2 linked regions of the Oryctolagus cuniculus genome follow. The protein of the gene in region 1 purifies or fractionates together with the protein of each later gene. This does not show direct contact. Links are inferred from orthologs where the notes say so. Each region holds a gene or a part of one and is shown on either strand. Other genes may lie near its edges.

What was found. The genes of interacting proteins can lie anywhere in the genome.
Region 2: the proteins of EBNA1BP2 (region 1) and BRIX1 purify together in Homo sapiens (affinity purification with mass spectrometry; 4 studies listed by BioGRID and IntAct, counting the BioPlex papers as one, with this or other methods). This does not show direct contact. The link is inferred for Oryctolagus cuniculus from reciprocal best matches to the Homo sapiens genes EBNA1BP2 and BRIX1.

What each region holds. Positions count from the first base shown.
Region 1 is NC_091438.1:129,855,418-129,861,011, forward strand, and holds the end of EBNA1BP2 (probable rRNA-processing protein EBP2), read left to right. Parts: intron 1-98; coding exon 99-192; intron 193-3,038; coding exon 3,039-3,201; intron 3,202-3,325; coding exon 3,326-3,376; 3' UTR 3,377-3,518; downstream 3,519-5,594. UniProt on the Homo sapiens protein: Required for the processing of the 27S pre-rRNA.
Region 2 is NC_091445.1:60,583,429-60,589,676, forward strand, and holds part of BRIX1 (ribosome biogenesis protein BRX1 homolog), read left to right. Parts: intron 1-2,901; coding exon 2,902-2,972; intron 2,973-3,219; coding exon 3,220-3,269; intron 3,270-3,360; coding exon 3,361-3,434; intron 3,435-3,580; coding exon 3,581-3,631; intron 3,632-3,762; coding exon 3,763-3,864; intron 3,865-6,041; coding exon 6,042-6,170; intron 6,171-6,248. UniProt on the Homo sapiens protein: Required for biogenesis of the 60S ribosomal subunit.

The DNA of each region.
Region 1 (5,594 bases):
TTAAAATCATTGTAGTAAGTACCAGCCTCATTCTTTAAGGTTTAAACTTTGCTTCTTTACAAATAATGGTGCTGACCAAAGTACTTTTTCACCCACAGGCTTCTCTGATAAGCTGGATTTCCTTGAAGGAGATCAGAAACCTGTTGCCAAGGGCACACAGGCAGGAGCTAAGGGCCGGCAGATGAAGAAGGGGTAAGAAGTTTGGGCATGGTTCCGTTCTGTGAGTGCCATGGGCCAGCGGTTGATGAGCGTAACTGCAGACCTCCAGCAGGAGCAGCCTCGGTTAAGAGAGTGGCTGTGACCAAGACCTAATGGTCCGTGTGGGGCCCTTTTAGCCATACCAGTCTTTGAAGATTGAAATAAGGTACTTTGTGGTGGGTGTTTGCTGCAGTGGGTAAGGTGCTGCCTGGGACGCTTACATCCCCTACCAGAGCGTCTGGGTGTGAATTCCTACTCCCCTTCCAATGCAGCTTCCTACCCTGCTTCCTGCTGGTGTAAACTCTGGGAGGGAGCATATGATCACTCACTATTCGACTCCCTGCCAACCAGGTTGGAGACCAAGAAGGAATTCCTGGCTCCTGGCTTTGGCCTGATCCAGTCATGGCTATTGTGGGCATTTTGGTAGTGAACCAGTGAATAGATGTCTTGCTCTTGCTCTGCCTTTCAAGTAAATTAAACTTAAAAAATAAAGCTCTTTAAGTATCTGGCACACTTCTAGTGAATGTTGAATCACTGTGATTGTAGCACCCTTGTGGTGGTTTAGAGAAGAGCTGGAGGGGTAGCTGCTGCCTGCTGCTCATGAGGAGGTAGCTTTGAGCAGGTCACTTGACCTTTCTAAAATACTGCTTATCTGCCAGCAGGAAGACAGAGTAGGTGCCCCACTGCGGTGTGAAGATGAGAAGGGACGATGTTGGCTATCATTGCTCCCTTCTGCATATTTACATGTCAGGCCTTGGAAGGTTGGGCATTTCCATTTAATAAAGTAAATGCTATGACAGAAGCATTTAGGGAGTAGTATGCAAGCACATTTTAGAAGTATCTGACTTAAGGGCTGGTGTTGGCACAGCAGGTTAAGCTGCTGCTTGCGATGCCCACATCCCATGTTGGATTGCTGGTTTGAGTCCTGGGAGCTCCCCTTCCGATCCAGCTTCCTGCTAATGTACCTTGGAAGGCAGCAAAATTGCTTGGGTTCCTGCTGCCCACATGGGAGACCAGGATGGAGTTCTTGGCTCCTGGTCTCAGCCTGGCCCAGACCTGGCTTTCCTGGCCATTTGGGGAATGAACCAGCAGATGGAAGCTCTCTCTCCATCTCTCCTCTCTCTCTCTCTGTTGCTCTGTCTTTGAAGTAAATAAATCCTGAATAAAAGAAAAAAGGAATACTTGACACAGAACAGAGATGGCTTCATAAACTTAGCCTGAAGGATGAATAAGAATTAATCAGGCCGGCGCTGCGGCTCACTAGGCTAATCCTCCGCCTTGCGGTGCTGGATTCTGTCCTGGTTGCCCCTCTTCCAGGCCAGCTCTCTGCTGTGGCCAGGGAGTGCAGTGGAGGATGGCCCAAGTCCTTGGGCCCTGCACCCCATGGGAAACCAGGATAAGTACCTGGCTCCTGCCATCGGATCAGCGCGGTGCGCCGGCCACGGCGGCCATTGGCAGGTGAACCAACGGCAAAGGAAGACCTTTCTCTCTGTTTCTCTCTCTCACTGTCCACTCTGCCTGTTAGGAAAAAAAAAAAAAAAGAATTAGGTGGGCTGGCGCCGTGGCTCACTTGGCTAATCCTCTTCCTGTGGCGCCGGCACCCTGGGTTCTAGTCCTGATTGGGGCGCAGGGTACTAGTCCCAGTTGCTCCTCTTCCAGTCCAGCTCTGCTGTGGCCCAGGAAAGCAGTGGAGGATGGCCCAAGTGCTTGGGTCCCTGTTCCCGCATGGGAGACCAGGAGGAAACACCCAGCTCCTGGCTTCGGATCGGCGCAGCACCGGCCATAGCGGCCATTAGGGGAGTGAACCAACAGAAGGAAGACCTTTCTCTCTGTCTCTCACTGTCTATAATTCTCTCTCTCTCTCTCTCTCTCTCTCTTTCTGTCTAACTCTGCCTGTCAAAATAAATAAATAAATAAATAAAAATAAAAGAATTAATCAGGAGAAGAGAAGCTAAGCTGGTTTGGGGAGGAAGAAGAATGTGAATGAGCAAAGGCATAGAAGTAGACAGCAGGTGTGTGTGCATCACTGGGAATACAGTGCAAGGCAAGGAATGGAGAGATGTGGCCGGAGGGCCCTGGGCTGTTATTTGACTGTTGAGGAGCATGGGTAGCTAGTGGGGAGACACACATGGGCTTTACTCACATTAATGAGCAGGCCATATTGATGTTTTGAAGAAGATTACCATACTACTTATGTGGGTGATGGACTTGAGGGAAGCAGGGAAATTGGTTAGGATATTTTTACAAAAGTCCAGATGAGCAGTGACAATGACTTGAACCTGGTAATGAGGTAGGGAAGGGAAATTCATTGAAGAAATACCTCAGAGCTCAAAGAGGAAGACTCAGTGTGTGTCTAGAGAGTGCCTGCGAGCTCTCAGCATTGGGGGATGGTGTAGCCCCCCCTGCAGTGAGACTGGTCAGGGAAGAGGGAGACCATGTGGTTTTCATATGCTGACTTTGAGGTTTCTCAGTTGGGATGGCAGGCTTTACAGTTTTTTACATTTGAATGTTAACTGCATATATATATATCCTTGAGAGGACCAGAAACAGTACAGGGTGGTTTGTTAAAATACAAGATTTGTTAAAAGACACAGGTTTCCAAAGATAGCTGCAAGCCACATGGTACAGGCAGATCCTTTTCTGCTTCTGGACTTGTTTCCCTGCCCTGGTGGTTAAGATCATGTGTAGGTGAGTTTGCTTGGGGAGGTTGTAGAGTAAGAACGTGGGTGACAGTAATGCCTAAGGGGTTTTACAGAAAGGAAACTGGGGCTCTCATTGGGTCATCAGATTCACCAGGATGTACTATGCAGTGAGTAACCTATGGGACCACGTTTTTGCAGGCCTAATGCTAAGCGACGATATAAAAACCAGAAGTTTGGTTTTGGTGGAAAGAAGAAAGGCTCCAAGTGGAACACTCGTGAGAGCTACGATGATGTATCCAGCTTCCGGGCCAAAACAGCTCATGGCAAGGGCCTCAAGAGGCCTGGAAAGAAAGGGTCAAATGTAAGTGGGCCGGGGGCCCAGGCTGGGGCTGGCTCAGCCTCCTCTCCCTCTTCCCCTACCCCTGTGCCCTCATACCCTGGGGAAGAAATGTGACTGACTAGGTGTGGTGCTTTTTTCCCTGCAGAAGAGACCTGGAAAGAGAACAAGAGAGAAGATGAAGAACCGAACACGCTAAACAGCATCTTTTGTACAGAGAACCAAGAAAAAGGGATGAAGCCTTATTTTCCTGATACAGTTGGGTCCCTTCTGTTTATTTTATTTTTTTGTTTGTTTGTTAAAAATACCTTTAATAAACTAAAGAAAAATTATTAAAGACACATATACTTATACCCTTGATTAAAGCCTCAGGACCAGGAGGCTGGCACTGTGGTGCAGTGAGTGAAGGGGCTGTTTGCCACATCAGGATCCCATATTGGAATGCCAGTTTGAGTTCCAGCCACTCTGCTTCTGGTCCAGCTTCCTGCTCATGCAACAGGGAAGGCTGCAGACAATGGTCCGAATACTTGGGCCCCTGCCACCCACGTGGGAGACCTGGATGGAGTTCCTGGCTCTTGGCTTTGGCCTGGCATAGACCTGGCTGTTGTGGCCATTTGGGGAGTGGACCAGTGGATGGAAGGCCTTTCTCTGTCACTTTGCCTTTCAGATAAATAAATCTTAAAAAACATATCTCAGGACTAGAAGGTTTAGAAATTACTTATAATATATGTTGTTGTAAGCATTGCTATGTATTGATGATAATTTAGAGTCCAAATTGCCTTTTATGATCGATGAAGCTTTAACTTAAAACCTTCCTCATGTCTTCCTCACTCTTTGAAATAGTTATAGCGCTATCAATCCCTTTATAGCTAGATGAATTATAATAAAATTTCCTGTGATCCAGCTATTGATTTTTCTTTTTTTTCTTTTAAAGATTTATTTATTTATCTGAAAGAGTTACACAGACAGAGGAGAGGCAGAGAGAGAGAGAGAGAAGTCTTCCTTCCGATGGTTCACTCCCCAACTGGCCACAACAGCTGGAGCTGGGCTGATCCAAAGCCAGGAGCCAGGAGCCTCCTCCGGGTCTCCCATGCAGGTGCAGGGGCCCAAAGATTTGGGCCATCTTATACTGCTTTCCCAGGCTATAGCAGAGAGCTGGATTGGAAGAGGAGCAGCTGGGACTAGAACAAGTGCCCATATGGGATGTCGGTACTTTAGGCCCCAGCTATTGATTTTTCTTGAGTCAATCTTTACCTTATATTTTTCTTCTTGTCTGATTTTCTTACTTTTTTCCAGATGCTTTACCATTTTATCTACCTTACAGTTTTCTTTGAGTCAAATATTGAACCCTTTCTGATAATTTCTAAGTTTATATTTTAGTTCTTTTGTGGGGAAGATTTTATTTTATTTTAAAAATTTAAAAAGTTATATTTGATAGAAAAGGGAGCTCTCATCTGCTGTTTCACTCCCTAGATGCCTGTGATGATTAGGGCTGGGCTCAGGCCAAAGCTGGGAGCTGGAAACCCAATCTGGGTCTCCCACCTGAGTGGCAGAAGCCCAGTTACTGAGTCGTCTGCGTTGTTGGGAAGCTGGAATTGGAAGCCAGAGCTGGGTCTTGAACCCATACATTCCAATTGGGATGTGGGCATCTTCACCGTTAGACCAAACTCCTGTCCTTCTAATCACTTCATTGGATATTTTAGCTTTCATTTTACCTTTCAAGAGTTCTTTATTCTCCACTTTGTCCTTTTTTGTAACATTTTTACTCTTATTCTATAAATTCAGTATGTTTGCCATATTTCTGATGTGAATTTGACCTTTTTAATTTTTTTAGCCGTTTTCTTTTGTTCCCAACATGCTTCCTCAGCCTCCTGTGCATTTTGGCCTCCCTCTAGCAGTGGTGCATCACGGATGTTAACTGCTTGGCTCCGCTGCTTCCTTGTTTGACCTTAGGCAAGAGACTTTTTCTGTGCCATTTTATAACAAGGAAATGGAGTCCTCACAGGGCTTAGTAACTCACCCAGGGTTACACAGCTACTTAGCAACAGCTAGAATTCATACAGAGGTAAGCCTGGCTCCCTACCATGTTCTCAGGAGCTTAACAAAGGCTCTGAGTCCCATCTGATTTCTTGAGTTCTAGTCTGTATCTCTGGGTATTTCTTCCTTTGTCCTTGGGCTGCTGGTAAAGATTAACCTGGCTGAGAGAAGGTGTGAGTTAGGAAGGAGTCAGGCTATGAGACCAACCAAATATCTTACGTCCTTTATTCTGGCCACACTGTCTCTTAGGGGCGCAGCTTCCTTACCTCTGAGGTTTCCCTATGCCTTGAGACAGGAATGTTTGGTCCCTCCACTCACCTTTAAACATATATGTTGAGGTCAAACTCTGGCAGGCAGAGTTCCGAGCCCAGGGCAGAGAG
Region 2 (6,248 bases), on another chromosome or scaffold:
GTCATTGTTATGTCTTGTCCCATCAAGCATACTGAAAGTTCCTGGAGAGAGAAGGATTATATCATTTTTTTCTCCCTCACTGTACCAGTGTCACAGTAGGTACTGTTAATCAGCATGTATAGTATACAATTTCAAAGGTGTTAAATATTTATAGAAAACCCATGTGTTAAAACATTTTGCCAATATTAAAAGTGCTATCTATAGGCATTTGGTGCAGTAGTTAACATGCTGTTTAGGATGCTTGCATCCCATAAGGGAATGCCTGGTTTGAACCCCAGCTCTGCTTCACGTTTCAGCTCCCACTAATGTGTACCCTGGTAGGCAGCAGGAGATGGCTCAAGTACTTGGGTTTCTGTAACCCACATGGGATTGAGTTCTGAACTCCTAGCCTCAGCCTGGCCCAGCCTTGGCTGTTGCAGGCTTTTGGGAAGTAAACTGGCACATTGGAGTTCAACTCTGTCTTCCTATCTATGTTGATACCTTTGAAATTAGTAAAAATAAAATAATTAAAATATACTGTGTCGCTCCCCCTCTTCATGGAGGAACGACACAGGATCCTGCCTAGGCTTCATATCCGAGTCACGGCACCATTATGTCGCTCCCCCTCTTCGTGGAGGAACGACACAGGACCCTGCGCTGTTCTTTTCGTCTGCTCGGCCCTCCCCGGGTTTGCTGCTGGTTCTTCCCGGGTTGGTTACTATCCCTTCCACCTCCGTGGAAGGGCAGTTCCCCCTGGCCACATTCCCCACTTCCGCAGGGGAGCGGCACACCGCCGGCCGGCTCTCTTGGGGGCTGCACGGGTGTTCCTTCAGCTAGATGTTCCCCATAGATGTTCCTGGTGCATGCCGTCTCTCTCCTCCTTTATAGTCCTCCTCTGCCAATCCCAACTCGGCTGCCCACACGCCGAGTACGCTGCTCTCCTTCAATCAGGAGCAGGTCCTGCAGCTTGTCAAGTTGGTGAGAGGCAGCTGGGTAGAAGCTGTTGCCTCCTCTCCCAGCGCCATATTGTGGGAGAGCAGATGCATAGAATAAGTCTTAATTCCAGTAACTCAGTCTAGTCCGAATGCTCCCCACAATACTGTGTTTGGATTTGCTGATAAAGTGTTATAAGCTAGTGATAGGTTAAATTTTCAGTGTATTCTTGAAGGTATTTTTTAAAGCCAATTATTCAAAATTTAGAATTGTTCTTTTTTTAATATTTTATTTATTTTACTTGAAAGTCACAGTTACACAGGTAGAGGGAGAGGCAGAGAGAGAGGTCTTCCTTCTGCTGGTTCTCTCCCCAGATGGCTGCAAAGGCTGGAGCTGAGCTGAGGAGCTGAGCCGATCCGAAGCCAGGAGCTTCTTCTAGGTCTCCCACGAGGGTGCAGGGGCCCAGAGACTTGGACCATCTTCTACTGCTTTCCCAGGCCATAGCAGAGAGCTGGATCAGAAGGGGAGCAGCCGGGACTCGAACCGGTGCCCATACGTGATGCCAGCACTGCAGGCGGTGGCTTTATCTGCTATACCACAGTGCCGGTCCCCGAAATTTAGAATTGTTTTGTTCTCATTCTGTTTTGTTATTGGAAAGCTTTTGTTTATTCTTGTAGTACAGATTTTTGAACCTTGGCTACAATGTGTCATTGTTCTGTGTGCTGAGGAAACATTGTTAAATAGAAAAATGCCCCTGTTGTTATGAAGTTTACAGTCTAATAAGGATGCAAGCTATAGGTTTTCAAAAACCTAGTCTGGGCTGGGAAAGCACCTTTCCATAGGGATAATTTTCAACTTAATATTTGAGTATTTGAGCAGAGACTTTAGGGAAAGAAGGGTAGAGTTGGGAAGCGTGTTAGGTAGAAAAGAAGGTAAGTGCAAAGGCCCGGAGTGGCGCACACTTCCTCTAGTTGTGTTTATTCTGAAACTAGTAAGAAACAAAAGCGGCTGCCGGTGTTGTGGCATAGTGGATAAAGCTGCCACCGTGATGGCGTCTCATACGGGTGCTGGTTTCCAGTCCAGCTGCCTGCTGATGGCCTGGCAGAAGCTGTGCAAGATGCCCTCAGTCCTTGGGCCTCTGCAGTCAGGTCGGAGACACAGATGGAGTTCCAGGCTCCTGGCTTCAGCCTGGCCTTCTTGTGGCCTTCTGGGGAGTGAACCAGTGTATGGGAGCTCTCTCTCCATAGCTCTGACTTTCAAAATAAATCAATCTTATGTTACAAAAGAAAAACAGCTGGAGCATTTTTGTAGATGTGTAGTCTCAAGTAGTTAGACTTTATTAGTACTATATCAGATGGTTTATCAGTACTACAGTAATTTAAGACTTAGCTCCTGTAGTGTTTTGTATATTTCTCAAGTATGACTTTGTAAACTTTCAAGACAATGAAGTTCAGTTCAATTTGAAATAAGTTTTGTGTACTTAACACTTCTCACCAGTCCCTTGGTGATTTTATGGAACCATGTCTTCAGAAATGAAATTATAACTGGGGAAGAAGACCTTAAATTTTGTGATCTTAAAAAAGCCAAAAAGTAAAAAATCAAAATAAGCATTATGAAATGTCTTTGGTTCTATAAGCACTATGTTTGTAGGGTTGACTGCAGAATGCTATGTGTTGGACATATTTTCAGTTTGTTCACTGGAGAATGGTCAGAAGAAAAGAGGCTTCCAGTAATCTCCAAGTGAGACCTCTTAATACTATAGAATGCTGTGGCCCAAAAAAATAAATAAATAGGATATTTAAGCCAAAGCGGTAGGCAGAGTGACTACTCTACATGGGTAGAAAGTCTAAGAGGAACTTTAAATGTTTGTTTCTATAAATAAGTTAGACCTTTGTTACCTACTGAAATATTTAGAGGAAACTGGATATTATGATGAATTACTTAGTTCCATTTGTATTTATGTTATATGTGTGTACTTTTTTCATTTAGGTCTGTGAAATGAAAAACTGCAATAAATGCATCTATTTTGAAGCTAAGAAAAAACAGGATCTCTATATGTGGTAAGAGTATTACTAAGATTTGGATTGAACTTACAGAAGTGGATTCATTCTTGGTAGTTCTTATAGGTAGTCATTTATATAAAAGACTATAAAATGAAACAAACTATTCAATTTGGAAAACCTTGAACCCATTAAAGAAAACTAAGTACATTTACATTTTAAGCATGTTGTGCTGTTTCCTGGGAATAGGTGCCTAGCATTTACTACATTCTAAATTGTAACTAATTGAAAAAACTTCCTTCTTTAGGCTTTCAAATTCACCTCATGGGCCATCTGCTAAATTCCTTGTTCAAAATGGTAAGTTGACTTAGTTATAAATATTTTTAATGAGAAAGCTAAAACAATCTTTTGGAGTAATTGTGCCAAAGTTACAACTTTTTTTTTCTAGTTCATACCCTAGCTGAATTAAAGATGACTGGAAACTGCTTGAGAGGTTCTCGACCCCTTTTGTCCTTTGATCCTGTGAGTTCCTCATTCAGTATGTGAGATACAATTACTTATTCTGCACAGTTGTATTTTAGTGGATATAGTTGTAATTGCTTAAAAAAAGAAAACTGTTTTTAAATGTGCACTCAACTGTCAAATAATCTGTTTATTTTATTTTATAGGCTTTTGATGAATTACCACATTATGCTTTGTTAAAAGAACTCTTAATTCAGGTAAACAAAACTTTTCCAGAAAATAGTTTTATAACTGTAAGTGAGCATCTTTTGGACTTTTTGCTAACTGTCAAAAGCATGAATTATGTGTGATATTGTAAGGAGCTAATATACTTTTTTTTTCTTTTAAGATCTTTAGTACACCACGGTATCACCCCAAAAGCCAACCATTTGTGGACCATGTGTTTACATTCTCCATTTTGGATAATAGGATATGGTTTCGGAACTTTCAGGTTAGCTTTATTTTATTTAGACTTTAAAATAAATTGGGATACACAGGGCTTGGAGACACAGAAAATCAGATTAACAGACCCTTTTGTTTTAAATAGCTTCCTTTACCCTAAGAGATTTGTTGCAGATAATTCTATCTCATTCCTGAAGTGACCTCTGTGCACTCTTCTCATGACTGTCAGTTGATACAGGGTTTGAGTTTCCTAACAAGCCACCATATTTTTCATTTTATAAGAAGGAAAACCTATGAGGTACTTGGGTTCCCAATTTATGTTAAGTGCTATAAAGGATACAGTAAAGTACAGTATACAAATATTATAAAATACAGTAAAATATAAGTTTCTGTTCTAAAAGGCTACCATCCACCTGGGGGTTGGTTAAGACAGAGAAAAACATTACTCCTTTAGAAGGCTTAAAGTGAGGACTACTGGATGAGTCATATAGTGACTCATCAGGGAAGAGGTGAAAAAAGCAGGAGTTTGGTGGATTAAGTCTGCAGAAAGGAGGAGATGGGATAGAGACCAGCGACAATAAAATTTCAGATGGTGTAGGTCGTAAGCTAGGCGCTAGTCTGGCATGTTTTTTACTGACTGCCTTGCAGTGTGAGCTAAATGTGTCCCATTCTTAATTTGTATCGTTTGTAAGTTTTCTGTTAATTTCATAATCAGTAATAAATAAATAAAATCATGCCTTTTAATGTGATTTCAATCAGATCTATAATAATAATATATACTTGATTGAATCTTTAAAAGGGTTCTCCCATGGTGTGCTTTAAAACAGTGTATTAATAATGGCCACAATATATTTAAAGATTTATTTTATTTTATTTGAAAGGCAGAGTTAGAGATAGGTCTTCCATCTAACTAGCTTACTCTCCAAATGGCTGCAAAGGCTGAGGCTGGGCCAGGCCAAAGCCAGGAGGCTGGAACTCTATCTGGGTCTTCCACCTGGTGCAAGCCCCAAGGACTTAGGTCATCTTCCACTGCTTCCCTAGGCATGTTTGCAGGGAACTGGATCAACAGTGGAGCTTCCAAGACTCTTTAACAGGTACCCATATGGTATGCTGGCATTGCAGGCAATGGCTTGACCCGCTACGCTACAATGACAGATTCTAGTTGGCTACAACTTTAAAAATATATTTTAAACACAGTTTTTCAAGAATATGTACCTTGGGAGCTGGAACTGTGGCTTAGCAGGTAGACTGCTACCTACAGTGTTGGCATCCTATATGGATGCTTGTTCTCGTTGGGCTGCTCTGTTTCTAATCTTGTTTTCTGCTACGGCCTGGGAAGGCTGTAGAAGATGGCCCAAGGACTTGGGCCCCTGCACCTGTGTGGGAGACCAGAGGAAGCTTCTGGCTCCTGACTTCAGATCTGCCCAGCTCCAGCTATCACGGCCATTTGGGGAGTGAACCAGCGGGTGGAAGACCTCTCTCTCTCTGCTCACCTCCCTCCCTCCCTTTTCCCTCCCTTCTTCTCCCTCTCCAACTTTCTATAACTTTCTTTCAAATAATAAGTAAATCTTTAAAAAAAAAATAAAGAATATGTACCTTATTAAGGAGCAGGTGTCATGGCACAGCAGATTAAGCCACCTCTTCAGATGCCCACAGTCTCATAGCTGAGTTCTGGTTCACATCCCATTACTTACACATCCAACTTCCTGCTAATGTGTTCTGGGAGGTAGCAGATGATGGCTTGCTCAAGTATTAGGGCCTCTGCCACCCATGTCAGAGACCCAGATGTGGTTCCAAGCTCTTGGCTTCAGGATTGTTGTAGACATTTGAGGGTACAGTAAACCAGCAGATACAAGATCTCAAAATACCTGTCTCTGTTTCTGTCACTTTTCCTTTCAAGTAGATGAAAATAAATATATTTTTTAAAAAAAATAAGTTTTCAAAAATGCTTTTATATTAAACTGAGAAGCAAGATATGAACCAAATTAAAATTATTTAATTTGAAAGGACACACTAAGAAAAGGTTTGTATTTTGTCATACCAACTCTGTGTAACTAGTGATAGATTTCAGAAAATATTGATGCATTGGCACTTGTCAGGATTCACCTCTACCTTAATTTTGCTGATTGTAAGTTATTTAGGCACACTTATAATGAGGTTATAGGCAGTATATCTTCTAGGATAGTATATTCAAACCAAAATGAAATGTTTCCCTTTTTATTAAAGATCATAGAAGAAGATGCTGCTCTTGTAGAAATAGGACCTCGTTTTGTCTTAAATCTTATAAAGATTTTCCAGGGGAGTTTTGGAGGACCAACTTTATATGAAAATCCTCACTACCAGTCTCCAAACATGGTAAGCTGTTTCATTGTTAATGGTCTTTGTTGTACCAGAACATTTCTATGAAATAATTAATGTTCTCTTTTACCTATG